Linked DNA regions of Bombyx mori. The protein of the gene in region 3 interacts with the protein of the main gene of each other region in a pairwise test. Links are inferred from orthologs where the notes say so. Each region holds a gene or a part of one and is shown on either strand. Other genes may lie near its edges.

Region 1 (10,483 bases), on a different chromosome or scaffold from region 3:
GTGCTGCATCTTCTAATGTCACAGAGAAGGGTTCTTTCGATGGAGTTTCGTTGGTTTCTGGTCGAATTCTTTTACTCTTTTTCTTAGGAATTTCTTCAGTAGATATTTGAGGTTTCGTTGAGATCACTAATTTGCTAGGATTGTCAGTTTGATGAACAGTGTAAGACTGCTTTTTCATGGCTGGAGTAGTGAATGTTGCACTCTGAGTAGTTTTTGACACATAGATCCCAGTATGGTGGGCAACTGTTTGAAAAAGCCCAACAGGATATGGCTTCTGTTGTGATGGCAATACTGGAGTAGGCTCATCTACATCAATGACTTCTGAGCTTTGGATATTGTATGAAGAACATTCATTCATATCAGCATGAATTTTACCTTCATTTTTTCTTTTTTTAGGTACCTTTTGTGCAGTATTAGTCTCCTCACTTGCAGCTTTGGAAGTTGAACCTTCTTCCACTAATACAAAAGAATTGTTTGGACCAGGCATTATCTTGTACCTTGAGTTTGGACTGGGCATTAAATTGTAGCTTGAGTTTACATTAGGCATTAGTTTAAAATTTCCAAGGGGTGCGGTAGGGGTGAGAATAGTTACTTCAGGGGTTTCAGTTACACAAGGAGATGGTTCCATTTGGTTTTTTTTTACTTTACTTGCAGGGCCTATTTTGGGTTTTGGTTTAGCTAAAGGCTTGACTGGTTCTTCTAAAGCTTTATTAAGTTCTCGTTCAGCTGGCACTTCTTTACATTCTTTATTTGATGTAACACTATCATTGCCATTTGACATAATACGTTTTTCACTGTCCATTTTAAAATATTTCACAGTATTAGTGGCTTTTGGTGGTTCAGGAGGGGGTAAGTGTTTTGTAATATCAGTTTTGGGAGCACCATTTCGGGCACAAAAATGACTTTCGACTATTTCCTTTTTTAAGAAATTTCGGTTACATAACTTACATTGGAAGAGTACTCCTACTTGATTTACTTTGATTGTGCTTACATGATCCATTATGTTAAATGGCACTTCCTCTTTTGTAGTTTCCTCAGATGCAATATTTTCAGCTGTTGTATCTTTTTTTCCACTATTTTCAGGTTTTTGACTATCTTGTACCTCTGGTGTGCTAATGGAATTTGTATTTATAGTGTCAAGTTTTTTACTTTGTTTATTGACAATTTTATCTGACCCCGACCGAGTAACCCTTTGGTCACATTTTTCAATAGTCAATTTTACAGGTTTGAGATTCACAGCAGCATTACTGTCTTCTGTTTTGGCCTGCAATTTTAAAATGTTATTTGTTTGGGGTTCCGCTCGCACCTTTCGTCCAAGTAGAGAATTCTTATCCTCTGCTACAACTGATTGGTTTAATGGCATATCTTTTATAGCTTCCATAGCTTTTCTTATGAGAGCATCGCAGATGTCATCATTCGACAAGTTAGTTTTGTTCAGCTTTTCTTCCCACTGTTCTCGTGTTTTTGTTTTTGTGTTTAGTAAATCTTTTTTACCAGTAGCAGCTAGGAGATTTTCTTGTGTCTTGACACATTTCTGTACAAACTCATGAAGCTCTTCAACTTTAGCTGAGCACCGGAAACATATTTTGTGAGGTAATTCATCATTTTCAGAAATCTGCAAATATTCATTATATAAATTATTTATTAACTTTCAAACGTGAGCAAATAAAAGATCAATCAAAATCAAGACTGAATAATTATAATCTTAATTTTTATGTTATCTACATAATTTAGTAAAGGCAAGGATATTATGTCGTTTATAAAACTCTTTTCTTCAATGACTCAGTCACTAGCTTAAGTTTTTCTTCATTACATGAAACAAATTTAAAAAGGGCCTAAAAATTTACTTTTTCCTTCAAAAGAGGAGGTATTGTACTTGAGCATACTGTTTATTGTAAACATACACAAGGGCAGTACCATCCTGCCCATTTCCAATGCAAAGCAATCATGTTTCCTTTGATGAGTTGGACAGCCTGAGTACTGATTGAGACTTTTATTATATATCTAAAATCATTCGCAGAATTATTTTTTGCTGTCAATGGGCTCTCATAGCCACTATGTACTTAAAATCAGGTAAAAAAAAAAGATGCCATAAATGAATATCATTTAAATTTAAACTATTTAACAGGTAAATTCGTGGGGACTTCATATTTAATTCGAGCAGTGTTTGTTTATTTATGTTGATAATTCAGTTTTATCAGAATACAGATTGCAAACATACCCCAAAAGGCATTAGTTCATCTATCTTCTTAGCAGTTGATTTATCAGATTCGAAAATATTTAAAAAGGGACCATCTTTCGTTTCGCACAACCTGCATACTTTTGCCATGACTGGCATGACTGATACAGCAGATACCAATAGATCGTTCGGTACGTTTTTCGTTGATCCCTTTTGAAAATTTAATTGTTTCTTTGATTTTGACTTCGCTTTTTTCTTAGCCATTATTAAAGTTTTTCAACACTTATTACTATTGCTTGTATTATAGCATGCCACGCAATAAATTCGATCCCATAAGTGGTGTACTGAATAAAAACACTTTTAAACTATAAAGCTATGTGTTCAATCAAGAGAAACAACTCTCAGTCTCAAGACTTTTTGTCGGAAATATTTATAATCCACATTTAGCAAGTGACAACATGGCCGATAACATTGGTGCTACAACTTTAAAACAATAAGTGCTGCCAACATAACAGCTCCTTTTTCACTATGGCAATCACCTAAAGCCTTTATATGAAGAAATTATCTTGGTAGATACAAAGATCTTGCCGCCCAGCAAGAACAGATGGGTGAACAGGAGGGATAAGTCAAAAGAGAAAGTTTACTAACCCAAAGTCTTGGACGACCCCAGAAGCCCCAAAGAAAGCCTAATAGCTGAAGGAGGGTTGCTTCGCGAATGCTTTTACATCACATCGGAGTCGCAACCCATTCAGAAACTCACCAAACTTGTGCTATGATATATGTATATCAAGCGTGGCAACACGGTGAGCAGTGCTTTGTTATTGTACTAGTGATAACAGTAGTCATTAGACTAGTAGCGTCCACTATACCTAGAATCAGGTGGTCCGTCAGGACTTGCTTGGAGTGATGATGGTAGGGTATGATAGGATGGAGGGTGCTGCGTAAGACTGTTCAGAGTTGTTGTCAAGGGAGCTATCATGCCAAATTACCGAGATGAAGGAGCTTTCCGACGCTGTCTTCGTATACTAGCGGAAGGGTTCAAAAACTAAACTTCTTGAAGGAGTCATGAACTCCTTAAACGTGACATTTCTCACGTGCTATGGTACTCCAATGGCTAAGTTAAGAAAGCTAGATTACATTGTTTGGAACAAATGGTTTGGGTTTGTTCATAATTTGTTAAAATAATGTTGTATGTACATACCTAATACTTGTTAACCCAAAGTAAAGTAGACTTTTACAATACATACAAAGCCTTTAAAAGCACAGAGTAAAACAAGATGTAAATGGTTTCTGAAGGAACCGACACTGGTGTGCGTTAACTATCTTTTTAATCAAAGATAATAGAGAAACAAAAGCAATACGTAAGGTATTTTTTGAGTTGGCGCTTAGTGGAGGATTTTCTAACGTTTGTGTTTTATAAAAATGTAAGGACTTAGAAAAGGGCTATTTCGCATCAGCAGTACGACACGATAACCGACTTATCGTATATGTCATTAGCTACACCTTCACGCCAGTTGACTCAGCAGCCAGCTACCAGTGACGTCTTTATCATGTCCTCACGGATCGTTCTGATTCAGTCTTGGTGGTGTTGGACACTACTAAAATGCCCGCTAGCAGCAATTTTAACAAAGTTCGCCGTAACCGTCGAACTCGCCGAAGAGTCCGACTAATTATCATTTAATCCGTTAAGTTTCACACCAAAATTTTCTCGGACGGTCAAGATTTAGATCTGGTCTCATATGTATTCACGAAACAGCTGCCCTTAAATTGATAAGCCTCCTTTAGAAGCGCTCGAAAAGTTGTTAGCATATCGTTACCTCCCGACTGCGCTCTTGAGTTCATCCATCCGCCCTGGTTGAGCGGTAAGTCCTTCTCGCCAACTGCAATAAAAAAAATTAGAAATTAATCCAGAAATCAACATTTTTGTTTTTCACATTACTCATAGACAATTTAGGAATATCATTATCTAGTGAACAGTGACAGCATTCGTCCAGTTCTAATCGCCATCTTGAATTTAGTATTGTGCCAGTCGGGGGGGCGGTGACATATTTTACCCGTCATCGTCATAATTTTGTGAATTTAATCGAAAAACACCTGAAAATAGTGCCGTATAAACGTGTAAATTATTTTTTTTAATACATAACGTGAAAATGGCGGGTCAGACAATAAACGATAGGCTGTTAGCAGCCCGACACAGCATCGCCGGGCAGGGATTAGCAAAGTCCGTCTGCAAAGCGACTACAGAAGAAATGATAGCGCCGAAAAAGAAACATTTAGATTGTGAGTACTAAGAATTCCTAAGATACAAAACAGTTATAATTTTTTTAGTTCATAATCGTGTGACAATGGTCGGACGGTCGATACTCGATAACTCTGGAGCCTCGCACAGATGTGCGATCTGTGACGCGCATTCAAGTTTACATTTCAGTTGCTCGCTTGAAAAACTATAACATATTACGTGTTTCTCATTCTTCGTACCATTAATTTGCGTGTCGAAATATTTTTCAACACAAACCAGTCCCATAGTAATGCCTCTTGACACACATTATGTCACGGTAGGAAGATGAGTTGTTACTGATTGAAAATAAAACTTGTTTGTAGACTACCTGCTTATTGGATTTATGTAATAATGCATCGGAAACCTATGTGTTGAATTCGATTTTTTTCCTCACATAATTATAATATAAAAATTAATGTAATAAAATAACAGAAGATGCAATACAAAATAACAAATGACAAAATTGGCAGTAACTACTTACTTGGAAAATATCTTAGTTCTTTAAATGATTATATTTATTAACACTGGCTAAGTCTGATTGCTAGGATTTCAGATTATGTTTGATTCAATAATAATAAAAAAATCATAACCAGTGAGAGAATTGATTGATATGTGTATATATATAACATATCAATCAAAACAAAAAATAACAAGGTCTAGGTACATTTGGTGCTAAATGATTATAAGAGATGATAGACATAGCAACGTGAAAGCTGTTATTCGTCTTGAGATATGAGATTAAAATCTCAATTACATTGCTAATTCTACCTATCAAACTGGAACACATAAATGCTTTGAGTCAAAAATAGGCAGGGCGGTGATATTTGCTTATGAGAGTTAATTAACCAGATCATTAGTAAGTAATTTTAGAATGTATTTTTTTTTCAAATTTTTTTTATCTGATATATTAGTAATATTACTTTATTTACTGGTGGTAGAACCTCTTGTGAGTCCACGCGGGTAGGTACCACTGCCCTGCCTATTTCTGCCGTGAAGCAGTAATGTGTTTCAGTTTGAAGGGTGGGGCAGCCGTTGTAACTATACTTGAGACCTTAGAACTTATATCTCAAGGTGGGTGGCGCATTTGCGTTATAGATGTCATTGGCTCCAGTAACCACTTAACACCAGGTGGGCTGTGAGCTCGTCCACCCTACTAAGCAATAAAAAAAAAACAATATATTCATAATAAGCAAATCTATACAATTCTAAATTGTGAAAGCATAATATAGAAGTTTATGAAGATAATCAAGATAAATGGAATCAAAATGGTACTTACTTATTCTACTACTAATCAATTGATTATTTTTTTTTTTTTTTTTTTTTTTTATTGCCTTTGTAGGCAGACGGGCATACGGCCCACCTGATGGTGAGTGGTTACCGTCGCCCATGGACTTCAGCAATGCCAGGGGCAGAGCCAAGCCGCTGCCTACCGCTTAATACTCTCCACAAGCCTCGTTTGAAGAAGGACATGTCATAGCGCTCGGGAAACACCGTGGAGGGGAGCTCATTCCATAGCCGGATGGTACGTGGCAAAAAAGATCTCTGGAAACGCACTGTGGATGACCGCAGTGGCTCCAGGTAGTATGGATGAACTCTACTCCGGTGGCGGGCGGTGCGATGGTAAAAACGAGATGCTGGTATCATCTCGAACAATTCCTCAGAGCACTCCCCATGGAACATACGGTACAAAATACAGAGGGAACCGAAGTCCCTCCGCAGACCCAGAGGCTCCAAACGATCCGAGAGAATGGGATTATCGACAATCCGAACGGCCCTCCTCTGTATGGAGTCAAATGGAAGAAGCTGGTATTTGGGAGCCCCAGCCCAGAGATGGGAGCAGTACTCCATGCGAGGCCGGACTTGTGCTTTATAAAGCAAAAGTCTTTGTCCAGGCGTGAAGTACCGCTTCGCTCTGTTGAGGACTCCCAGCATTTTGGACGCCAACTTGGCTTTGCCTTCCAAATGACTCCGAAACTGGACATCGCTCGAAATGTCGACCCCAAGTATCCCGATACTCTCGGAAGGTTGCAGGGATACTCCTTGGAATTGCGGCGCCATGACAAAGGGGTCCTTCTTCGCAGTGAACGCGCAAACTTGTGTCTTTATCGGGTTGAATTGAACCAAGTTCAATTCACCCCATTCGGAGACTCGCCCCAGAGAGTTCTCCACTTCAGACACAAGTTTTGATCGTCTCTCTTGCACCACGCTCCGAGAGAGACTCTGATGGCCGATATATCGCGCATCCCCCGTGCTGTCATCTGCATAGCAATGCATGCCATCAATAGACAGCATGTCATTGATATACAGGATGAAAAGCGTGGGGGAGAGCACCGAACCTTGTGGAACGCCAGCGTTAATGGTCATGGTATCAGAACAGTCACCGTCTACAACGACCGTGATGCTCCGCCCATCCAAAAAGCTAGCGATCCACTTGCAGAGACCCTCGGGGATTCCGTAAGATGGTAACTTCGATAGAAGTGCCCTATGCCAGACCCTGTCGAAGGCCTTCGCGATATCAAGGCTCACAGCAAGAGCCTCGCCCTTGCTTTCCAAGGCTTCAGCCCACCTGTGAGTAAGGTATACAAGAAGATCGCCAGCTGAGCGACCGTGACGGAAACCGTACTGTCGGTCACTGATCAGCTGGCGATCCTCCAGATACTTCAGGAGTTGTATATTAATTATTCGCTCCATCACCTTGGAAAGCAAGGAAGTTATCGCGATAGGCCTATAGCTCGATGGGTCCGACCGGTCACCCTTCTTGGGGATAGGGTGGACGTGGGCAGTCTTCCATGAAGACGGAACCCTGTTAGTGCAATAAGAGAGGCGATACAAACGCGTTAGCGCAGGCGTCAGCTCAGGGGCGCACGTTTTCAGAACCACTGCAGGGATGCCGTCTGGCCCGCTCGACTTATGGACGTCCAGGAGTCGGAGTTCCCGCCTGACTGCACACTGTGTAAAGCAGATCTCGGGCAGGGAACTATCACACCGGAGGATGTTCGGTGGTGTGGCACCCCCGTCGTCCACAGTCGAGTTCGAGGCGAAGAGTTTGACCAGAAGGTCAGCCTTCTCTTTCGCACTATGGGCCAGACTGTCATCGGACTTGCGTAGTGGTGGGAGACTAGACCTGCAAAAGTTTCCTTCTGCAGCTTTGGCGAGCGACCAGAAAGCACGGCTCCCAGAGGGATAGCTCTTCAGTCGCTCGCCAATTCTAGCAACGTGCTCCGACTTCGCCTTGGCAATAACCTTCTTGTAGGACCTGGAAGCGGCGTTATATTTCCGCCTTTCCTCTGAGATGTTAGGGTCCTGACGTCTCATGGCATTATCCCATGCCACGTATGCGGACCGCTTGAGGTGTGCAGCATCCCTGCTGGCATTGTTATACCAGGGTCTGCTGCGACCCCCAACGGGCACTTCAGAGGAGGGAATAAACAATTCCATCCCCTGGAGCACCACGTCTTTAAGACGGTCCGCACAGACGTCAGGATCAGCAGAGGAAAAGCAGAACCGCCCCCATGGGTAGGATGCGTAAAATTCACGCAATCCATCCCAATCTGCTGACATATACCGCCAAACTCTTCGATACCCGGTCGTCGTTCGACGATCAGGACGAGAGAGTGGAACGGCAGCACGAATAAGGCAGTGATCAGACGATCCAAGCGGAGCGTCGACCACCACACTGTATCCGGCCGGATCTGTGGTCAGCAGAAGGTCCAACAAAGAAGGCTCGTGCCCCTCGATATCTGGGACACGGGTGGGCTGTGTCACCAGCTGGGAGAAGCCGTAGGCCAAGGCGAAATCGTAGGCAGTCCGACCCGGGAGGTCAGTGGTTCTGGACCCCAACCACTCTTGGTGGTGAGCGTTAAAGTCTCCAAGAACCACCACCTCCGCAGATGGGTACTGCTCAAGCACGCGGTTAGTCCCCTCTTGCACATGCTCAAACAGAGCTGAACCTGCATCACTGCTGTGGGACCTGTACAGGCACGCGTAGATTCGGCTACGGCCCCCGTGATCTACGCGCAGCCACAAGAGGGACAGGTCCCGTTGTTCGAGGCCCCGAAGACGGCGACAACAGACATCAGCCCGGACGAATACGCACACCCCGGCTTTACGCAGGAAGTTGTGCTCCAATACGTAGCCGGGGTATTCAAGGTATGAGGTATCATCCGGAGCAGATATCTGCGTCTCCGTTAAAAAAAGCAGGGCAGGCTGCGCCGTCTCAAGGTGGTGGTGTACGGCGTCAAGGTTGCTATGTAGGCCCCTGACATTGCTGAAATCCACATTAAATGTGGAATGGGGAGCCGCCTGTAAAACCCTTTTCTTTTTTTTCGACTTCATTAAGTTGTTATATTTCGGGAGAGTAGGATTAGGAGAGGTAGGATGTTAGAGGTGAGATCGAGGCAACACCTGAATGAAGCGCGGAACATAGTACGTGCTCGACCACGGGTTGCGTGAGAGACTGACGCAGGGCATGGAAGGGCCCCCAGTCCACTCTGCGTGCGATCGCCGGGATCCACTCCGGTCTCCGACTCCGGCACGACGACCGCACGGCAGAATTTTACACCGGTTGGCGGGACAGCTTCCCGGGGCGGAGTTTAGTAGAGACACCCGGGTTCAGGTCCCCTACTGACCGGCGGGCGGCAGCGGATACCGTTTCACTGGGTCTCCCTATACCCCCGTCAAACAATCACGCCCCGCGAGTTCGCACGCACGTCTGCTCCGCAAGTTCCAGGCGTAACCAAGACTCACCCCCAACAAGGAAGGGGAAAGGGAAGGGATAGAACTGGCTCTCCAACCCACACGCCGGAACACAGCTAGGCTATTTGGCGGCGGATTCTAGTTGGAGGGTGGTCGCCAGCCAGTCGGACTAAGTCCTACCACCGGTTATGTTTTCGGCTCCCGTTTAGCACCACCCAGGGGTCACTTGTAGGGAATCGCGGGTTAAACCTACGGAAGCGGGAAGCACCAACCCCCAAATTAATTTAGGTATCAAAATATCATAGAATTAAATTAATTATCTCTTAGTAAGTTTTTAGATCCAATGATTTATGAGCTTGAGTTTATTGTTAATTATGTATAAAAATATTGTAATTATAAACAACTTTTAGAAAATACCTTCAAAAAGGAAATCCTAATTTATGCAAGGAACATAACATATATAATAATAAAACTTGCTTAGAACATAAGTTGTTAAGCTACAGATGACTATTATTTCATAAAGTTGGCTGGTTATAACTAGAAATTTATAGTTTTGTATTCAAAAGTCCAATTGGGATTCTTGATATGGCAGGTGTAAGGTAGAAAAATATATTTAAATGCATTTTTTTTTCTAAAACAATCACACTACTTTTTGTGTGTTCTAAATCATTAGTAGCATTAGTAGGCCTGTTTTCCCAAATGATTTCAAGTATTGAGCAGTCACTAGAGACTATGGACACCTAAACTTTATTTCCATTCCCAATTGTGAATGATAAATTGAAAATCTTGTTTGCATTGACTTAACTGGCAACTCTAACTTCAATATGGAATGCATGATTGGGCCAGAAATTGTATTTTAGTGCTCTATTCACACTGACAAGCCTTCTACTACTAGTAATCAAGATAGTGATTTAAGAAAGTTTGGTTACAACAAATGGTGACAATGAAATTATTACAAATCTATGGAATAACAGTGTGATTAAATTAAAAATGATATTTATTTTTGAGATACTGATGAGTGATTGGTCAACTACTCTAATTGCACATATTTTTTCTGGTCTTAGTCTTTTAGGTTTGTCCATTTTTTAACATATCATTAGCAGTACCATTGGAGCATTGTTGACACCTACCACCTACAGTAACTGTTTATCCACAGTGAACTTCATTCTACTATGTTTAATCTTTGTAATTCATTTCAGATCTGAAATAAATTTCAATCAGACTTTTTAGTATGAATAAATTATGTTAAGAAATATAGAAAACTTTTTGCTTTTGAAATCTGTAATAATGATAAGTTCTTAGTAAGGAAGAAACTGGTTTTTTAATGTGTC
Region 2 (10,483 bases), on a different chromosome or scaffold from region 3:
TTGCAGCGGACCTCATCTTGCCATTTCAAAAGTATGTCCAATTAAAATAAAGAAAATTATGGAAAAAAAATCCAAAATTACTTATGCAAGTGCTACCTCAACCAAGCAAGTAAATAACAATGACTTTCCTCCACTTCCAACATCAAAAACACCTGTATATAATACTGTAAATAAATCTGTATATAACTCTGTAAATAAGCCTCTATATAATTCTGTAAATAAGCCTGTAAATACACATGTAGATAATGTAAATAAACAACAAGATTTATTGCCTTTAGAAAATATTAAAAATCAAATTGTCTCCAACAATGATGTACTTATGGCCCTTGTACAGACATTGGTGGAGCTAGGCAATAAGGGTGATAATTCACCTACTACAGTGAAAACAATTAAGGATATCTTAATTAAAAATCTAAAATAATGGATCTAGGTCCTTCACAGTCTAAGATACGTATTGCTCAGTATAATATTCAAAGTGCCAATAGTAAAAAACCCTTGCTCATTCAATTCTTGAAACAACAAAACATTGATATATGTCTACTTAATGAAACCTGGTTCAAAGATAACAAATTTAAAATACCAGGTTACAATATTTATAACAGAAATTCAAACAATAGTCATAATGGTGTGGCAATATTAATTAAACCATACCTCAAATACAATATTATTAACACTACATTCTATGAGGACATTCAAACTGCTGCCCTGTCTTTATCAACAGTAAGTGGTAGTTTGACTGTTCTTTGTGTTTATTGTCCACCTACTAGTCGTCATATCAGACTAAATAGATTACAGAGTATAATTTATAATCTTCCAAAACCAATATTTGTAAGTGGTGACTTTAATGCTCATCATATAGCTTTTGGTTGTTTATCTAGTAAGAGTCGAGGTCACAGCTTATTTAATATTATTGACGACTTAGATTTATGCATTTTGAATGATGGTAGATTTACAACTGTCAACTATCCTAGACGAAATCCTTCTGCTATTGATGTTAGCTTCGTCAGTGCTAGTCTTGCATCTATGTGTGAGTGGTCTGTCCATCACAATGCCATGGGAAGTTATCATTACCCTACAATAACAGAAATTTCCTTAACTATTGATAAATATCACATTGGTTCGCCAGTAGACAGATTTTTATATAATAAGGCAGATTGGACTAAATACAACACTCTTTCCAGAACAGTTTTCAATAATTTTATCCTAAATTCAAATGACCCTATATTAACTTATAGTGCTTTCTGTTCTTGTTTGGATACATTAAAAACTATGACAATTCCTAAACTTACAAAATCAAATAGTTTCAAAAGCCGTTTGCCAACACCCTGGTGGAATGATATTTGTGAACAAAGTGTCATTGCATCTTATAATGCTCTCAAATTATATAGAAATGTGCCATCCATAGAGAATTATATTAACTATAAAAGAAAGGATGCACAGAAAAAAAGAACAATAGCAGAGCAGAAAAAAATTGGTTGGAATAATCTAACTAATACTTTCAGTAGAACAACACCCATTAGTAAGATTTGGAATTTACTTAAAATGTTTAAAGGTGTTAAAACTGGCAATAGGTCATATAGAGATGAATTCATTCCCTCATTTTTGGATAACTTAACAGACAATAGTAATTTAATTCAGACCAGTAACTTGAATATTTATTTTAATTTAAACAATGACAATCATAATTCAAAATTTTTGGTTGAACCCTTTACATGGTCAGAATTTACAATAAGTTTACAATCTAGACGCAATACAACACCAGGTATGGATGACTACCCTTACCTATTGATTAAAAATCTGGATGAATCAGCTCAAAAATTATTTCTAGATATCCTCAATTTACTTTGGCTTAACAACTATATTCCACAGGCATGGAAAACACAGTGTGTTATTCCGATACTCAAACCAGACAAGGCACCAGAACTTGCTAGCTCATATAGACCAATTTCTTTATCTTCATGTCTTGGCAAAATTTTTGAAACAATGTTAAAAGTCCGTCTTGACTGGTATGTGGAAGCTAATCATATCATTCCTGATGTCCAATATGGCTTTAGGCGAGGGCGAAGCTGTGCTGATAGTTTTATCTCTTTAATATCTGATCTGAAACATGGGAAGGAAAAAAATTTACATACTGTTTGTATATTCCTTGATGTTCAAGGTGCCTTTGACAGTATAGATCCTGGTATACTTGTGAAAGTTATGTCAGGGCTAGGAATACCCGGACAACTCTGCAAATGGATATATAACTTCTTGAATGAAAGGACAGTGTATGTAAAATACAATAATATCCTATATGGTCCAAAATCTGCCTCGAAAGGCACAATGCAAGGTGCTACTTTATCTCCGTTATTGTATAATATATACACAAGTGAAATCTGCAACTTTATAGATAATGTAAATAATAATGTAAATATTCTACAATTTGCTGATGACATCGTTTTGTATAGCAGTGACTATAATTTACAAGTAACAATAGACAGTATTAATGTAGCTTTATCCCAACTGTTCTATTATTACAATGACATTCTACATTTAAAAATTAATCCATCCAAGAGCAACGTAATGATATTCAGCAAGGATACACCAATCTATAATGTCATTTATAATGGTGAAATTATAAACAAGGTTACCAGCAAAAAATTTTTGGGAATAATAATAGATCAGAAATTAACTTTTGAATCACATATTAATCATATTTCCAAAAATGCTTTAAGAGGTCTTAATGTTATGAAATGTCTTGCTGGAGTATCATGGGGTGCAGATCCCAAAATACTGTCTTTAATATACAAATCGATTGTCAGAAGCCATTTTGATTATAGCTCTCTTGCTTATTTGAATAGTCCACATGCAAGTAAACTTGATATATTACAGAACAGAGCTTTGAGAATAATATCTGGTGCAATGTGCTCAACTCCCATAAGGGCCATGGAAGTTGAGACAAAAGTTATGCCATTAATCTTGAGACGTCTCTTACTTGCACACAGATACTGTCTCAAATTACTATCTTCTAATAATATGCAAATAGTTCAAAAAATTGCACCATACCTAGACATCACTCCTCCTTCATTATTAACTGGAATAACCCTTAACAAATATACACCACCTTTGTCCATAATATATCTGGAAATAGATAATAAGTATAAAAAGATCAGTAAACAGTCCCTTTGGCCATGTTACTCTAATAGTTATCACTCCATTTCATATCCAGTAAATATAATCTCAAGTACAATTAATAGCAATTCTGATATGATTCAGTTCTTGTCACAAAACTATACATATTACACTATATATACTGATGGCAGCAAAGGGAATAACTATGTGCATGCAGCATTTTATGATTCAAAGGCTAGGTTTTCTCAAAGCTTTGTTTTGAATGAATATTGTTCCATTTTTACTGCAGAGGCTTATGCTGTTTATCAAGCCTTACTGCGAATTACTGTGGTTAATAGCTGTACAAACTTTTTAATAATAACTGATTCTTTAAGCCTGCTAGAGAGTTTAAGTAATATATCTGTAAATTATAAAACTAATTACGTCTTGTATATTATAAAAGAGCTTTTGTATAAATGTCATCATAAGAATGTAAATATAGCATTTATGTGGGTTCCTTCACATAGAGGCATAACGGGCAACGAAAAAGCTGACAAAGCTGCACGTGAGGCTATAAACAGTATTGACGTTACAGACTCATTACTCGTACCTTTCACTGACTATTTTCTAAATATTAAAGAAAACATTTACACTCTGTGGAGGGAATTGTGGAAGAAAGATCAGGAAAACAAGGGAAAGTGGTATGGAAGTATCCAAGATAACCTGCCTGTTAAACCATGGTATGAAAAATTGAAAACTAGTGAAAGTCGAGTTTTCATCACAACAATAAACAGATTGAGATTTGGCCATAATACTGCGCCGTCACACCTAGCAAGACTTGGCATTGTTTCAAATAGCCAATGTATACACTGTCAAGCAGAAGAAGGGACGATCCATCACATTATTTTCGATTGCCAAAGTTTCCTAATTCAAAGACTTGTGCTGGCTAGTGAACTTAGTGATACCAATGCATTTAAGTGTGTCTCTTCCTCCCGCCCGCCGCCACTTAACTTTTTACTAAAAGATCCAACATCCTATAAACCTATTTATAATTACATAAAAAAGACAATTCAAACAATTTAAATGACAAAATTTAGTGAAGTGAAGTGTAGTGACCCCAAAGTAATGAACATTTTCCAAATAAGATATGACCTAAAGGTCTCTGTCACCAGGTCATAAAATTAAAAAAAAAAAAAAAAAAAAACCACTGAAATTGGGACTTTTTGGCGGGAACGCGAGGAGTGAAGTTGTGTGATTTGTCTTATTTTGTCTATTTCGTGTTTCTTCAGGTTTAAATGTGTAATAACGGTGGTTTATTAACTGTTTAATATCTGTGAAAGTGCACAAATGTGGGAAAATGAAACAAAGCTGCTGGACGTAACTTCTCGGGTTCCTCCAAAAAGTCCACTGAAAAAATCTCAGTAAATGACCACCATTTTACTGCGATTATATTTCATCCCATATCATCTCATTTCATTAAATTTCATCCCAGTTGATTAATGTCTCAAATTAATCATCTTCATTTCATTTCACTCCATATTATCATTTTTCATAAAATTAAGAATATAAAGTAAAATAAGACATGACTTAAAGGTCTTAGTTACCAGGTCATAAAATCTCTTAAAAAAAAAACGACTGAAATTTGGCAGCACTGGGCTATCGGAATGTGACAAAAACGACATAAATTCTTAGTCAATTTACTTTTATTTATTTCAAAATGTATAAAGGGTTTTCCAGAATATTAGCCCTTCATAATGTAGAAAAATTACAACTTAATGTATCAAATCTCAGATGTAATATCTTGTGCGCCCGTAAACTCAAACCCGCCGGTATAGGTTATATTTTGGTAAGAACTAAAAAACATGATCGGAATCCTTCTGCTTTATTTGTGCCAGTGCCAGTGAAACCAAACTCCGATGACATAAACATTGGTGAAGAATTTACAGGACGTCTAAAAAAACAAGACTTGTTAAAAATTCTTAACAAATTTTACCAAAAACCTGAAATCAGAGTGCTTGCTTCAGAAAATGGATTGGATGATCAATTGTTACATCAAGCTTTCCTTTCATTCAGACGGCATTGTTTAGAACATGATTTACCACCAGACTTACATATTACGATCAGTGATATACTTCAAGGTAAGGTTAACTGAATTTATATAGTGTAAACTCCCATTCGTTGATTTTATTTTGCTATTAGATACTGCTTAATAAATAAATCTAGATATCTATAGCAAACCTCAGTAAAAAAATATCTCAATATGTCTATGCTTAACTTAGATTACTTTTAGTGTGCCGAATCTCACTGACGGGACACGCGCCGATCGTTATCGCGTCCGTTTATCTTCCACCGGATAAGATCGTTCTAAGCAGTGATATCGAGGCGCTGCTCGGCATGGGGAGCTCTGTCATTCTGGCGGGCGACCTAAATTGTAAACACATTAGGTGGAACTCACACACCACAACCCCGAATGGCAGGCGGCTTGACGCGTTAGTCGATAATCTCGCCTTCGATATCGTCGCTCCGCTAATCCCGACTCACTACCCGCTAAATATCGCGCATCGCCCGGATATACTCGACATAGCGTTATTAAAAAACGTAACTCTGCGCTTACACTCGATCGAAGTAGTTTCAGAGTTAGATTCAGACCACCGTCCCGTCGTTATGAAGCTCGGTCGCGCTCCCGATTCCGTTCCCGTCACGAGGACTGTGGTGGATTGGCACACGCTGGGCATCAGCCTGGCTGAATCTGATCCACCATCGCTACCGCTTAGCCCGGACTCTACCCCGTCTCCCCAGGATACCGCTGAAGCCATAGACATCTTAACGTCACACATCACCTCGACATTAGATAGGTCATCGAAACAAGTTGTAGCGGAGGACTTCCTTCACCGCTTCAAATTGTCCGACGATATTAGGGAACTCCTTAGAGCTAAGAACGCCTCGATACGCGCCTACGACAGGTATCCTACCGCGGAAAATCGTATTCGAATGCGTGCCCTACAACGCGACGTAAAGTCTCGCATCGCCGAAGCCCGAGATGACAGATGGTCTGATTTCTTAGAAGGACTCGCGCCCTCCCAAAGGTCTTACTACCGCTTAGCTCGTACTCTCAAATCGGATACGGTAGTAACTATGCCCCCCCTCGTAGGCCCCTCAGGCCGACTCACGGCGTTCGATGATGACGAAAAAGCAGAGCTGCTGGCCGATACATTGCAAACCCAGTGCACGCCCAGCACTCAATCCGTGGACCCTGTGCATGTAGAATTAGTAGACAGTGAGGTAGAACGCAGAGCCTCCTTGCCACCCTCTGATGTGTTACCACCCGTCACCCCGATGGAAGTTAAAGACTTGATCGAAGACCTACGTCCTCGCAAGGCTCCCGGTTCCGACGGTATATCCAACCGCGTTATTAAACTTCTACCCGTCCAACTCATCGTGATGTTGGCATCTATTTTCAATGCCGCTATGGCGAACTGTATCTTTCCCGCGGTGTGGAAAGAAGCGGACGTTATCGGCATACATAAACCCGGTAAACCAAAAAATCATCCGACGAGCTACCGCCCGATTAGCCTCCTCATGTCTCTAGGCAAACTGTATGAGCGTCTGCTCTACAAACGCCTCAGAGACTTCGTCTCATCCAAGGGCATTCTCATCGATGAACAATTCGGATTCCGTACAAATCACTCATGCGTTCAACAGGTGCACCGCCTCACGGAGCACATTCTTGTGGGGCTTAATCGACCAAAACCGTTATACACGGGAGCTCTCTTCTTCGACGTCGCAAAAGCGTTCGACAAAATCTGGCACAACGGTTTGATTTTCAAACTATTCAACATGGGTGTGCCGGATAGTCTCGTGCTCATCATACGGGACTTCTTGTCGAACCGCTCTTTTCGATATCGAGTCGAGGGAACCCGCTCCTCCCCACGACCTCTCACAGCTGGAGTCCCGCAAGGCTCTGTCCTCTCACCCCTCCTATTTAGCTTATTCGTTAACGATATTCCCCGGTCGCCGCCGACCCATTTAGCTTTATTCGCCGACGACACGACTGTTTACTATTCCAGTAGAAACAAGTCCCTAATCGCGAAGAAGCTTCAGAGCGCAGCCCTAGCCCTAGGACAGTGGTTCCGAAAATGGCGCATAGACATCAACCCAGCGAAAAGTACTGCGGTGCTCTTTCAGAGGGGAAGCTCCACACGGATTTCCTCCCGTATTAGGAGGAGGAATCTCACACCCCCGATTACTCTCTTTAGTCAATCCATACCCTGGGCCAGGAAGGTCAAGTACCTGGGCGTTACCCTGGATGCATCGATGACATTCCGCCCGCATATAAAATCAGTCCGTGACCGTGCCGCGTTTATTCTCGGTAGACTCTACCCCATGATTTGTAAGCGGAGTAAAATGTCCCTTCGGAACAAGGTGACACTTTACAAAACTTGCATAAGGCCCGTCATGACTTACGCGAGTGTGGTGTTCGCTCACGCGGCCCGCACGCACATAGACACCCTTCAATCTCTACAATCCCGCTTTTGCAGGTTAGCCGTCGGAGCTCCGTGGTTCGTGAGGAACGTTGACCTACACGACGACCTGGGCCTCGAATCTATACAGAAATACATGAAGTCAGCGTCGGAACGGTACTTCGATAAGGCTATGCGTCATGATAATCGCCTTATCGTAGCCGCCGCTGACTACTCCCCGAATCCTGATCATGCAGGAGCCAGTCACCGTCGACGCCCTAGACACGTCCTTACGGATCCATCAGATCCAATAACCTTCGCACTAGACGCCTTCAGCTCTAGGAGCAGGCTTAGGGACCTCGGTAACCGTACTCGTCGAACTCGACAAAGAGTTCGCCGTGCAACCTAACCCATGAATAAGCTCGCTGAGTTTCTCGCCGGATCTTCTCAGCGGGTCGCGATTCCGATCCGGTAGTAGATTCATTCGCGAAGCAGCTGCTCTTGAGCTGTTAGGTCTCCTTCGGAGGCGCTCGGGTAGCTGTTAGCAAATCCCACCCCTCCTGGCTGAGCCTTTGCTCGCCCACCTGTCCTGGTGAAACTGGAAAGGCCTCCGGGCCACCAGTAATCCTTCAATCATAAAAAAAAAAAAAAGATTACTTTTAAAACTGAATAGAAGAATATTAACATAATAGTTGTAAACAGTGTAATGTTTTTGTGCTATTAACGGTTTTTAATAAGTGAGGACTGGCAAGGATGAAGAATGGATTCCTGGAAACCAAAATATGGTTGCAGTCTCTGAGCATTATTGTTACACATTTTGTTACTTTGATTATGCATGACATCCTAAATGTGCTTATTTAGTCCAATTAGTATGAGTCTCTTACTCTGTGAATGAATCAAAGCAGTTCATTCTCATTTCATTGTTGCCCTTCTATTTGCCAATTGCTTGATGGGTTATTTTGGTTCTACCATGCCTAGGGACCAACCTCATTGGTTGACATTACTGAAGTCCATGGGCGGCGGTAACCATTCACCATCAGGTGGGTATGCTTGTCTACCTACAAGGGCAATAAATGTTTTAAATATCCATTTTAGGTGCAGGACATGTTGATGATTTGTTTCCATACTTCTTGAGGCATGCAAGACGAGCATTTCCGCACCTTGACTGCTTGGAAGACTTGAAAAAGATATCAGATTTGAGAACACCAGCAAACTGGTAAATATATTCTAGTGCTAATAAAATTCACCCTTCCCCCTCTAATCCTAAAATGTAAAAGTTAAAGATTTCTAACTAAAGTAAATAGCTTAAATAGTGAATTACCTGAATAATAATTTGACTGTCAAAATCAGTAGAAATGTGTCATTACGGATCTCCCCAATCCATTAATGGTTTTACGTACTGCAAGCACCTGACACCGTCTTCATGGAACTTGACACTTGCAATGAAGGGCTTGACGAGTAGATTAACCCATAGACACAGCCCACTGAATTTCTCGCCGGATCTTCTCAGTGGGTCGCGTTTGCGGTCCAGTGGTAGATTCTGCGAAGCACTGCCCTTGAAAAAGGGCCAGTGTTAGCAGCACTCCGGTTTCAGCCCCATGAGCTCACCTAAATGTCAAGGAGAAGCTGAAATAGCCTCTCAAGGCTATCAGCATAGGCAGGGAAAAAAAGAAAGTGAATTACATAGTGTAGCATTAATCTAAAAAAGCACTTTTCTTTTTCATAATAAATGTTCTAAGGGATTCAGCTGAGAATAGGCAGCAGCATTCATTAAGTATTATCCCAGTGTACTGTACCTTTTACTGGCATATTGTAAAACAGCGTTGGTAATCTGGTTGAATATGGTGTCAGAGAGCTGGAATAATGCACTGGTGGGATAATCAGTTTTGCACAGAACCTGACCTAGAAGAGTGTTTGTAATTGCTTAAATTTTTGTGCCTTGGATATTTAGGTTTTTTTATATTTTCCCCACTCCATTGTTTTGAATGGGCTATTCCTAGACTATGATGAGCATGAATGCTAATTTCAACTAACACTAATAATTCAGATAAAATTCCAGGTATCCTGAAGCTCGAAGTATGGATCGCAAAATTATATTTCATGCAGGTCCCACAAATTCAGGAAAAACTTATCATGCAATGGAGAGATTCTTAAAATCGAAATCTGGTGTGTACTGTGGTCCCTTAAAGTTACTAGCAACTGAGATATATCATAAATCGAATAAAAGTGTAAGTGTAATATGTATATCATAAATTGAATACTTTTAAAACCTAGGTAATTTAGGGATAGCTATTAGGTATTACTACTATATATTTGACTATCAGATATTAAAAATGTGGGTTTATAGTATGTACATATACATTTTCGTTTCGACATGATAGCGTCTTATAAATCGATGAACACCGATTGCACGCACGAAAAAGTGTCACGTTTCACATGAGCATGCAAGCAAGAGCACGGAACAAGCGATAGAGAGGCACAATCGGCCCAAGCGTTAATTTAACGTAAAAATTTTTTTTTCAATTAACTCCTTTGTGTTTTACCAATGTACCGATTAGATCTGCAAATAAAAAAATCTCTAACTGCGAATATAGGAATTGGGTAGCATTATTAAATCCGCGAATGAAAAAAATCGCTAATAAGCTTTTACTGTAATTCTTAAAGCATTGTAAAGTACATTGATTCCGGCAACAAAAAAAAATTAATACAATGTTCATTATTGGGGATTAAAACTGAAATTAATGTGAATGAATTTGAATTGTGGGCTGCAATATACACTTGCATTTCCAGGGCACACCCTGCGATCTAGTAACAGGAGAAGAAAGAAGGCACGCTTCATTATACAACACCTTAATAAATGGTACAGATGATAATGACATAGAAACATCAGATGTCGAACCTTATTTGTTAGAAGAAACCGAATTAACACCGTC
Region 3 (10,383 bases):
CTGAGCGATAAGACAAGACATGGCTTCGGCCTTACGATCAAGAACAATGAAGACGTGGCTTCGGCCTTTAAAACTACCAATATTCTCCAATTATTACCAAGACAAGAACAAGACCTGGCTGTATGGACTTAAGTCCTTTGCCTTTCCCATTAGGGATAAATTATTATCATCATTATCATCTTTCACGGAGCGAGGGTGTTTAATGTTCTTTATTTGGTTCAGGCTAAAGCCGCAGAGGGCGCTGGTGAGGATGGGAAACTCAGCATGATGGAGGTCACGCTCAAGCAACTCCGGGAGAAGGTGAGCTGTGTGACATTCTAACTGGTATCTATGGGGGGGGGACAGTTATTGTCCCACTTGGCTGTTGACCCGTGGACTCGTCAGCACAGGAGTTCATTGCGGGCGTTGAACTCCAAGAAAAGTTGAAATATATAGACCGCAGTGTTGACCATGGACCACTGTGGTTATACAGACGGTTAATTCGCTTAAACAATCACGGATTGCAATAATAATTAGTGATTTAGATTTAAAGAGAGAATCGATTTTGATGTTCGTCCGCCATGATGAATGGAATCATGTTCGGTGTTACCCACTCTCGATTAAATTTACCATTTAGTAAAAAATACAAAACATATAAATCGTCATGAAAATAACACGAGTAATTATTTGTCAGCAATTAAAATAATAACAATACAAAATTATGACTTTCACTAGGTGTTTTATAGACAAAATTGATTAAATTTTATAAATTTTTGGTTTCTAAAAAATTTACAAGATCCTTCATCACTTCATTACGACTACTTAGAGACCACACCGGTCACCGTCCTCGTCGAACCGCTTGCGACGAAGAGTTCGACGAGCGAACTAACTCACAGACACAGCCCACTGAGTTTCTTGCCGGGTCTTCTCAGTGGGTCGCGTTTCCGATCCGGTGGTAGATTCTGCGAAGCACTGCTCTTACTAGGGCCAGTGTTAGCAACACTCCCGGTTTGAACCCCGTGAGCTCACCTACACGTCAAGGAGAAGCAGAAATAGCCTCTCAAGGCTATCAACATAGGTAGGGAAAAAAAGGAACCACTGGTTCACACAATTTTTTTTTTGTGGTTCACACTAAAACAAATATCGCAGCGCCCGGTAATGTACGACGAAGTTCATTCCGTAGTCGAGGTCGACGACCTCGCGCGATGTTCGCTTACATTGCGCGCTCGCTTCATCGCTGTACCCGCCACGCAGGTGGAGGCCGCCAAAGCTATCGTTGAATCGAAGACCGCGGACCTGCAGCACAACGAGGCCCAGCTGGCGGAGCTGAACGCGACGGTAGCGACGCTCAGCGACAAGTGCGAGAAGGTGTGGAAGCTGTACGAGGAGAAACGGAACGAGTACATCGAGAGGAGGAACACGGCGCCCGCGGAGGGGACCTGGGGCAGCAGCGGTGAGGGACTCCGTCACTTACTACCACATTTTTTTATTTTATTTTTATTGCTTAGATGGGTGGACGAGCTCATAGCCCACCTGGTGTTAAGTGGTTACTGGAGCCCATAGACATCCACAACGTACATGCGCCACCCGCCTTGAGATATGAGTTCTAAGGTCTCAGTATAGTTACAACGGCTGCCCCACCCTTCAACCGAAACGCATTACTGCTTCACGGTAGAAATAGGCAGGGTGGTGGTACCTACCCGTGCGGACTCACAAGAGGTCCTACCACCAGTAAATGATTGATGATTATGATATTTTTACCAAATGCTTAAACTTTAAATAGTCCTGTGTTGTTCCAAAAATTTCGCTTAACCCAAATACCCTTTCACCTGTCGAATTATTGCAGTAAAATAGAATTCAATTGGAGGGTAGTTTGTTATTAATTTATATGAATGTGCAGACGCGGACTGGGGCGCCGCGGACGCCGCGTGGAGCTCCCCCCCGGCCGAGGACGCGTGGGGCGACGCGCCCACCACCACCGGTACGGTCCACGGGCGCACGGACCACGTGCAGAAGCCGCTATTAACCTTAATGAAGTGAAACTTCTTTAGACGGAGTGAGAGAGTAGGCAGAGCGTCTCGCGAACCACTCGACCGCGCAGAGAGGGAGAAAGCGAGCTAGGTCGTTCCTCTTACACACATTTTGTTTACGGGCGTCGGCCACTAGATGGCGACTGGCGTGTTATTAGTTTCTCATTCCTCCTATAGATGACAGTAACATTATTTTAGCGACATCTATCGGATTTCATATAAACCGCTATATTGACAACGGTGTGTTAGATTAGGTTCTAAAAAAAAAATCATAATACTATAGACCGCAAAAGAGGTTTCACTTCTTTCGCGTGCACAAAGCTGCACGCGCACAATTTTTTTAATTTTTTTAGAGCGAGTAATGTAATAAAAATTCTCGCGAGGTCAACGACTTCCAATCATACGTCGTACATTGCGGGCCCGCTGAATGAGCGTCTGCGCTCGACCTAGCGTAACTACAGATGCTGTTTATGTTCATATATATATATATATCTGGTCTGCTGATAAATCTATTTTAAAATTTTAAATCGATGGACGGACTCGCGGCTCGACGCTGAGAGGTTTATGAGACCCACGGACATCACATATGATATCTCGATTGTATTTTAAAAGCTGACGTAATTTGGCGTCGAAAGCAAGCAGGATGATGGTACCTATCCTAACTACAGGTTTTCACTATTTTTTTGTAACGAATAGTTTCGTCGTTCCAGCCACGGAGACGGTGCAGACCGCAGCCCCCGGGGGCGAGGGCCCGCAGCCGCCGCGGTGGCGCTGCGTGTACCCGTTCGTGGGGCGCAGCGCCGACGAGCTGAGCGTGCAGCCCGGGGACCTCATCGTGCCGCGCGCGCCCCCCGCCGCGCCAGAGCCCGGCTGGGCCTGGGGCAGCGCCAGGGGTACGGGGACCGCATCAATAATAAACTTCTTTAGAATCGTTGTGATTTCAAACTTGATGAAACGAAATGAAACGAAACGAAAAAATAAGTGTGCCGCGATTGGCTTGCCGAAGCGGCTCCGAGCGGCGCCGACAAATCACGAAGCGCTCCACACGGTCTCACTTTTTTTTTTATTGCTTAGATGGGTGGATGAGCTCACAGCCCACCTGGTGTTAAGTGGTTACATCTACAACGTAAATGCGCCACTCATCTTGAGATATGAGTTCTAAGGTCTCAGTATAGTTACAACGGCTGCCCCTTCAAACCGAAACGCATTACTGCTTCACGGCAGAAATAGGCAGGGCGGTGGTGCCTACCCGCGCGGACTCTCAAGAGGTCCTACCACCAGAATGTCACTACCTGATGTTAAGTGTTTACCGGAATCTGGAGACATCGCCGCTACAACACTCCGCTATCAGCTTTGAGGTCAATGAATATGAGGTCAAAATATCAGTTTCACAGCACTCTTTAAAGCGTTACAGCTTCACGGCAGTAATGAGCTTGATGGTACTATAACCTTTTTTTGGGCGTGGTCGATACCCCCACGGGGACTGCAGGTGGGGAGTGGGGGGCATTGTATATGCAACCACTAAGGTAGTCACGGTCACCTATAAACGACTCCCCTCCACTCTCGCCCAAGAGTCCGGTCCCCCCTCGAGACAAAATCCGGGAGGGACAGGTTGTACGCACAAGATGTCAAAATGAAGGTTGAACTCGGTCCCAGGTCAGAGCGGCTGGTTCCCGGAATCGTACGTGGAGGACCTCAACGCTCCCACCGCGTTCGTCACCGAGGTCATCGAGACCCTCGAGCCAAAGACGCAGCTTGAAGGTAAAGAGACTGAACCTAGGGTCGGGGGTCCTTCTAGACCAGGGGTGGGCAAATATTTTGATAGTCGGGCCACATTGCAGATGAAAATTTGCCTACGGGCCAAACTGTTTTTTTTTTCTAATTTTATATTGTGCGACTATTATACATAGTGTGATTTCAATTATCATAATTATATTTTCGAATAGGAGGCGCTGAAAAGAGCGGTTGTCCGGGAGAAAATTTTGGCTCCCACCGGCCCTGATAATGTGTATCAGTAGTGCCTAATATTTTATCTAAAAAAATTTATGCACCAATTTATGTTAGACAAAAACTAATATTTATGTTTTTAATAATAATGATATATACAATGCTTCACGGGCCAGACGAAATTCTACCGCGGGCCGCCATTTGCCCAGGCCTGGTATATAAGTATGTATATCAGGCTCCAGTTCCCATAGGGGGATCCAGGAGCCAGATGTCCCGGTATGACTTGTACCCGGTTATTATTGTTATGCGCTGGGGTTCGGGATAAATAAAAAAATTATACCGAAGTACAGAATAAAATTGTATTCAACACTTAAAACATTTAACAAACACCTTAAAATTCTTAATTCGCTACTACGCTTCAGGTGATCCCTAGAATTATCGAGAATATTCCACACATTTCGAGTATTGTGTCTCTGCTATCTGACAATAGATGGCGTTGTACTTCTCAAGCGTTCTAGGTGCTACTAGATTCTTCGATATTCGTTCGACTATTTGGTGATACATGGCGTTACTCTTACCGGGGTAACATTATTATAAAGGCGTCCGCGGCCTGATGTGTGCGACGCCCGGTGCACGCGACCCGAGCGTTTGAATCCCCCAAGGAAGTGCTGTCTAAACAAACATACTCAGTACCTTTACGCGCTGAGGTTCGGGATAAATAAAATGGCCACCGAAGTACAAATTAAAACTATTTAACACTCAGAGCACTTTACAAATCGCAATTCGCTTCTTCCGTTTCGCTTCAGGTGATCCGATTACTTCGCGTCATCACTGCAACGCTTTTATAGTCGATACGACAACTCTACGATTATCAAGAACATTCCCGATAGGTCTAGTCGTGTCGATATGTGTTTTCGCTGTTTGATAATAGATGGCGTTACACTCTTCGAGCGTTCTCGATATTACTAGAGCTTTTAATATTCGCTTCTTGTATTCGACGACAGATAGCGTCACTCTTACCGGCGTAACAGTATATAATATGCGTGACCCTAGATCTTAATAAATACACATTCATATAAAAGTGTTGTAAAGTTTGTATGTCACTTTTGGAGAAGAGTTTGTGTTTCTCGAGGACTTCTCCAGCCGTGACCGCTGATAAAGTGTACTCGAATAAACCTTACTCGAACATTCCACAGGGATAGCGGAGGTACCCGAACAGGAGGCCACCAGCGACCTCGGGGGCGCGCTGCCGGCAGTAGGTCAGTGAACACACACTAAAAAACGCACACCCTGTGTATAGGGCTAGTAGAGACAAATCTAACGAGCCCAAACTCGATGGGCTTACCAGTGGCCGTTCAGGAGTTCTGCTGCGGTCGAGGGTCCGCAGACCAGCTCTGCAGTGCCAACATATAGGAACGTTTTCTTTTTTGATCGTATTTTACTTATAAATGATCGCAGTAGATCCCGGCCGGACGGTAAGCGAGCCCGTTTCTGTTGAAGACGACGGCGAGTTCTACATAGCGTCGTACCCGTACAGCTCCTCGGAGCCCGGCGACCTGGTGTTCGAGGCCGGCGAGAGGATCGAGGTGGTGCGGCGCGACGGCGACTGGTGGACCGGCAGGATCGGGGCCAGGTCAGTGGAGGGGACGGGGGGGCGGCACCGTGCTGTGTGTGCTTCTAGCAAACTAAGAACGAAACGAATCTAAATGTCGGACTTTATAAATTGGAAGATGCCGACATCCAACCTAATGGCTCTTATTTGTTTTGTTTAAGTAAGTAGGGTTTGTAGCCCACTGAGTTTCTCGCCGGATCTTCTCAGTGGGTCGCGTTTCCGATCCGGTGGTAGATTCTGCGAAGCACGGCTCTTGCTAGGGTTCGTGTTAGCAACATCGTCAGGTTTGAGCCCCGTGAGCTCACCTACTAAAGTTAGGGTTACGCTGACATAGCTGCTAGGGCTATCAGCTTAGGTAGGAAAAAAAAAAAAAAAAAAGAAGGGTTTGTTAATACTTCGGGCATAAATAATAAAAAAATAAAATAAAATCGTAACGACTTTATAAATATCGGTAACGATTTTCGGAATCGTTTTAGCGTCGTTCGATATCCGAGATAAACCACAGTTTCCTTTACGACGTACGAAATTTAGATTTATATAAAAAAAAAATTCAATTTCCTCACACAGGACCGGCATATTCCCCTCGAACTACGTGTCCCGGGAGGCAGCGCCCGCGGCCACCTCGGAGCCCCAGGACTCCGCCCCGGCCGAGGCGTCCCCCGCACCCCCCGCCGCGCCCGAGCAGGAGGACACGTCGCCCCCCAACACAACTCCGCCGATACCTGCCTCTCAGGTCAGCCCCAAAATATCAAACTACCCCCCCTTTTTGAACTCTGGAAGGTAGATAGCCAATGGCTAGTAGTTTTACTGCTAGGGACTTTTTGGCGGAAACGCGAGAAGAGGAGTGAAGTTGTGTGATTTGCTTTATTTTGTCTATTTAGTGTTTCTTCGGGTTTAAATGTGTAATAATGGTGGTTTATTAACTGTTTAATATCTGTGCACAAGTGTGGGAAAATGAAACAAAGCCGTTGGACATACTTCTCGGGATCCTCCAAAAAGTCCACTGAAAAAATCTTAATAAATGACCACCATTTTACTGAGATTATATTTCATCCCATTTCATCTCATCTCATTTCATTTAATTTCATCCAAGTTGATTAATGTCTCAAACTAATCGTCTTCATTTCATTTCACTCCATAATAACATTTTTCATAAAAATATGAATATAAGTTAAAATAAGACATGGTCTTAGTTACCAGGTCATAAAATCCCTTAAAAAAAAGTTCTACTGCAACTACAGATTCAGACCGCAGTCTAGTAAAGGACAATGCCCAAAAGTGGGCCAACTTTATGTCAAAACTATTTGTACTTGAAAAACTATGCCTTATTTTTTTACGTTGTTTAGTTTATGTATCAACATTTCTTTAAACCTGGCATTGTTTTACAAAAAAATAAATTACTTATTTGATAACTAACATCCCAAAACTTAGTGGCATAGTTTTTAAATTCGCCAATAGGCAAAGGGCTTAGCCCATACAGCCTTACAGTAAACCTATAAGCTGCCAAACGAAAGAGTTGTCTGTGACTTGAACAACAAATTAAAAAAAAATAAGTAATGGTTATAATTCAGACTTTTTAGTTTATTTTTGTTCAATTCAATATTTATATATTGTAATAATAATTATTACTTAACACCATGAATTATTTAATATTTTTAGATATTAATGATTCCATTAGTGAAAATCTCAATGGCCTACCATTACTCTATTCTTATATAATAATATGATCAGAGAGTTTTGGCAGCAACCCGAGTGAAGCGTCACTTGAAGTTTTATTTTATGTTTTTTTAATAGTTTATTGTGATGTATAATATATAAATTGAGCGTTGTTTTGTGTATTAAACGTCAATAATCGTTGTTCACGATTATTGAGGCATTGGAATAAAACTGTGGCTAACATAGTAGTGACTGTTCTTTTTTTCAAGATAAAAGGTCTGCGGAAATTCACGCTCACTCAATGAGCTATTCATCGAGTTGACGTCAAAACTCCCAAAAAGCAATAAAAAGAGATACAAAATATAACTACGACAGACTAGGCTGTATAGGCTACGCGCTTTGCCTGCTTATTGGCGAATTTAAAAACAACAACAACAATATCGTTGTCGGCTTCCGGATTTTTATTTCATTTTAATATTATTATGAGGATATAATAATAATAAAATGTACGTAAGGGCTTATTTCTAGCAACATTAACCACAATTAACTTATTTAATACTGTAAATAATTATGAGAGCGATTATTGATTTCGAAAAAAACAATTAACAACTTAATTTTAGCTGCAGAAAAAAACAGATTTCTCTTAAATCTGGGTGAGAATATAAAAATAGTTTTCTGAATATGAAACGATATTTCTTTGTCTATCAAAATAAGTTAAAACCATCATGACGCGACAACTTTTTTTAGGGGCCCATACGCCCATAGAAAATGGGCATTGTCCTTTGTGCAGTCTTATTTAGAGAGGGAACGAGATCTTCCACCGAGCTCGGCGGTCGAGGAACTTTTTTAATTATTACCCCAAAATATTTTTGTGTAAGTTGATATTACCCTCTGGCGAAGAGCAAAAATAAAAACGAAATCGCTTCTTTTTATAATAGCATCTTTCATACTATAGCCCCCATGATAGTTTTGAAAAGAAAACAATAACTAAAAATATAATTTAAACATCATTTATTAACATCACATTAAACATCATTATTTATCAATGCAATACCTAGTAATACATAACGGTAATAATAATAATATATGTAATATACAGTTGAGGAACAAAAATCGCCCCCACAGAAAATATAAGTAAATGATAATTTCTTGTTTTGAGATTGAAATCACAACGATTCTAAAGAAGTTTCACTTTGATGTATACTTTTTACTCACAAAAATTTCATTTTTCCTCCCTAAAATTTCATTTTACCCCATTTGGGGTGGTAGGACCTCTTGTGAGTCCGCGCGGGTAGGTACCGCCGCCCTGCCTATTTCTGCCGTGAAGCAGTAATGCCTTTCCGTTTGAAGGGTGGGCAGCCTTTGTAACCATACCTTAGAACTTATATTTCAAGCTGGGTGTTGCATTTACGTTGTAGATGTCTATGTGCTCCAGTAACCACTTAACACCAGGTGGGCTGTGAGCTCGTCCACCCATCTAAGCAATTAAAAAAATAAAATGCACTAGGTTTGTGTTCCTAATTCTTTTTTCCTTTTGCGGGCCTACTGGAAGAGATTTCAGCATGAAATAAGTAGTGCCCTTGTACTCTGTATCCTTATTGACGTGTCTTTTCTAATAGCTGTGTGTACAAAATATATTAAATAAAAAAATAAATAAATTACCACGGTTCCCCGATCTCTGACCTAGCTGATATGGACCTCTAACGAACTCGCATATACATCTGTGACGTTTCTGTTGGCGCAGGACCAGAAGTCCTCGACGCCGATATCGTCAGAGGTGGCCATGATCACGGACCCCGCGCGGCCCCCCTCCGCCGCGGGGGCGCGCCGCGACTCCGGGCGCGACTCCGTCACCGGCCGCCGCAAGCACGAGATAGTGCAGGCGCTCGCCAGCTACACCGCCACCAGGTACCGCACCCGCCAGGGGACCCTCACCATTACTGCTGCAGCCGTTGTACTGTTTAAACTAAGACTTAAAACTCAGGGTGGAAGTCGACTTTGACATGGTGAATGTCTACGGACTCCGATGATAAGTGAACATCAGGTAGACAGTGCGTTTCCAGCTGTCTTTTCTGCCACGTACCATCCGGCTATGGAATGAGCTCCTCTCCACGGTGTTTCCCGAGCGCTATGACATGTCCTTCTTCAAACAAGGCTTATTGGGAGTACTTAACGGTAGGCTTGGCTATGCCCCTGGTATTGCTGAAGTCCATGGGCGACGGTAACCACTCACCATTAAGTGGGCCCTATGCTCGTCAGCCTACAAGGGCAATAAAAATAAATAAATAAAAAGACCATCAGCTCGACTACCTACCTAAGCAATAAATAAAAATATCCAATGTTCCATTCTCGGGATATGAGTGTTGTCCATTGACGGCAGCAATCCTGCTCGTCTGTGTACTCGATGTCCGATGTTATTGTCATGTCTGCCTCCAGCCCGGAGCAGCTGAGTCTGATGAAGGGACAGCTGCTGGTGGTGCGCAAGAAGGCCGACAGCGGCTGGTGGGAGGGCGAGCTGCAGGCCAAGGGCAGGAACCGGCAGGTCGGCTGGTTCCCCGCTTCCTACGTCAAGGTGAGGCGCGCCACTCGAATATAGCTCTTATTGCAATGGAGTAAAGGCGATTTTTTGTTTTCGTCAAAAAACTGGTATTTATGTTTACCCCCATGGAAGATAGGGGTTTGTGTTGCGTCATAGATGCGCAGTGTGTCATCGAGTATCGGTTCGAGGGTTGTGGATTCAACGTGAGGGACAGATGTGTATAATCTCTATATACATACGTCAGGTGCTGCAGTCGTCGGGGCGGACCTCGGGCCGCACCACTCCCGTGCTCTCCTCGAAGATGGACGCTCTACCCACGGAGACGGTCATCGACAAGGTACACTCTCCTCTCTCTCTCTTTCTCTCTCTTCCTCTCTTTCTCTTCCTCTCTTTCTCTTCCTCTCTCCTTCTCTCTCCCTCTCTATAACTCAACAAGTGATCGCGTTATAAATGACGTAACGCACTGACAATAATAACATTAGCAGCAGAACATGTTTGAAGGGGCTGTCTTTGTCTGTTGGTTACCACAGTAGGGTCAACGAATATAGTCTAGCTCTAGTATAGACCAGCTTGTTAGACCACAAAAATAGCGGATGAAAGTCGATTGTATGCAGCAGAGA

Evidence for each region.
Region 1: the proteins of intersectin-1 (region 3) and phosphatidylinositol-binding clathrin assembly protein LAP interact in a two-hybrid assay, tested with the Caenorhabditis elegans proteins (3 studies listed by BioGRID). The link is inferred for Bombyx mori from reciprocal best matches to the Caenorhabditis elegans genes itsn-1 and unc-11.
Region 2: the proteins of intersectin-1 (region 3) and ATP-dependent RNA helicase SUV3 homolog, mitochondrial interact in a two-hybrid assay, tested with the Caenorhabditis elegans proteins (2 studies listed by BioGRID). The link is inferred for Bombyx mori from reciprocal best matches to the Caenorhabditis elegans genes itsn-1 and C08F8.2.

The regions. Positions count from the first base shown.
Region 1 is NC_085113.1:1,560,071-1,570,553, forward strand, and holds the start of phosphatidylinositol-binding clathrin assembly protein LAP, read left to right. Parts: upstream 1-4,155; 5' UTR 4,156-4,329; coding exon 4,330-4,459; intron 4,460-4,938; exon of another isoform or gene 4,939-5,088; intron 5,089-10,483. Other genes in the region: uncharacterized protein LOC101743063, read right to left, coding at 1-1,615, 2,222-2,443.
Region 2 is NC_085119.1:5,365,871-5,376,353, forward strand, and holds the start of ATP-dependent RNA helicase SUV3 homolog, mitochondrial, read left to right. Parts: upstream 1-4,659; 5' UTR 4,660-4,807; coding exon 4,808-5,228; intron 5,229-8,645; coding exon 8,646-8,766; intron 8,767-9,609; coding exon 9,610-9,778; intron 9,779-10,340; coding exon 10,341-10,483. UniProt on the Caenorhabditis elegans protein: ATPase and DNA/RNA helicase able to unwind DNA/DNA, DNA/RNA and RNA/RNA duplexes in the 5'-3' direction.
Region 3 is NC_085117.1:613,879-624,261, reverse strand, and holds part of intersectin-1, read left to right. Parts: intron 1-222; coding exon 223-300; intron 301-1,233; coding exon 1,234-1,432; intron 1,433-1,879; coding exon 1,880-1,960; intron 1,961-2,719; coding exon 2,720-2,902; intron 2,903-3,665; coding exon 3,666-3,770; intron 3,771-5,152; coding exon 5,153-5,215; intron 5,216-5,414; coding exon 5,415-5,589; intron 5,590-6,135; coding exon 6,136-6,301; intron 6,302-8,968; coding exon 8,969-9,132; intron 9,133-9,660; coding exon 9,661-9,796; intron 9,797-10,007; coding exon 10,008-10,100; intron 10,101-10,383.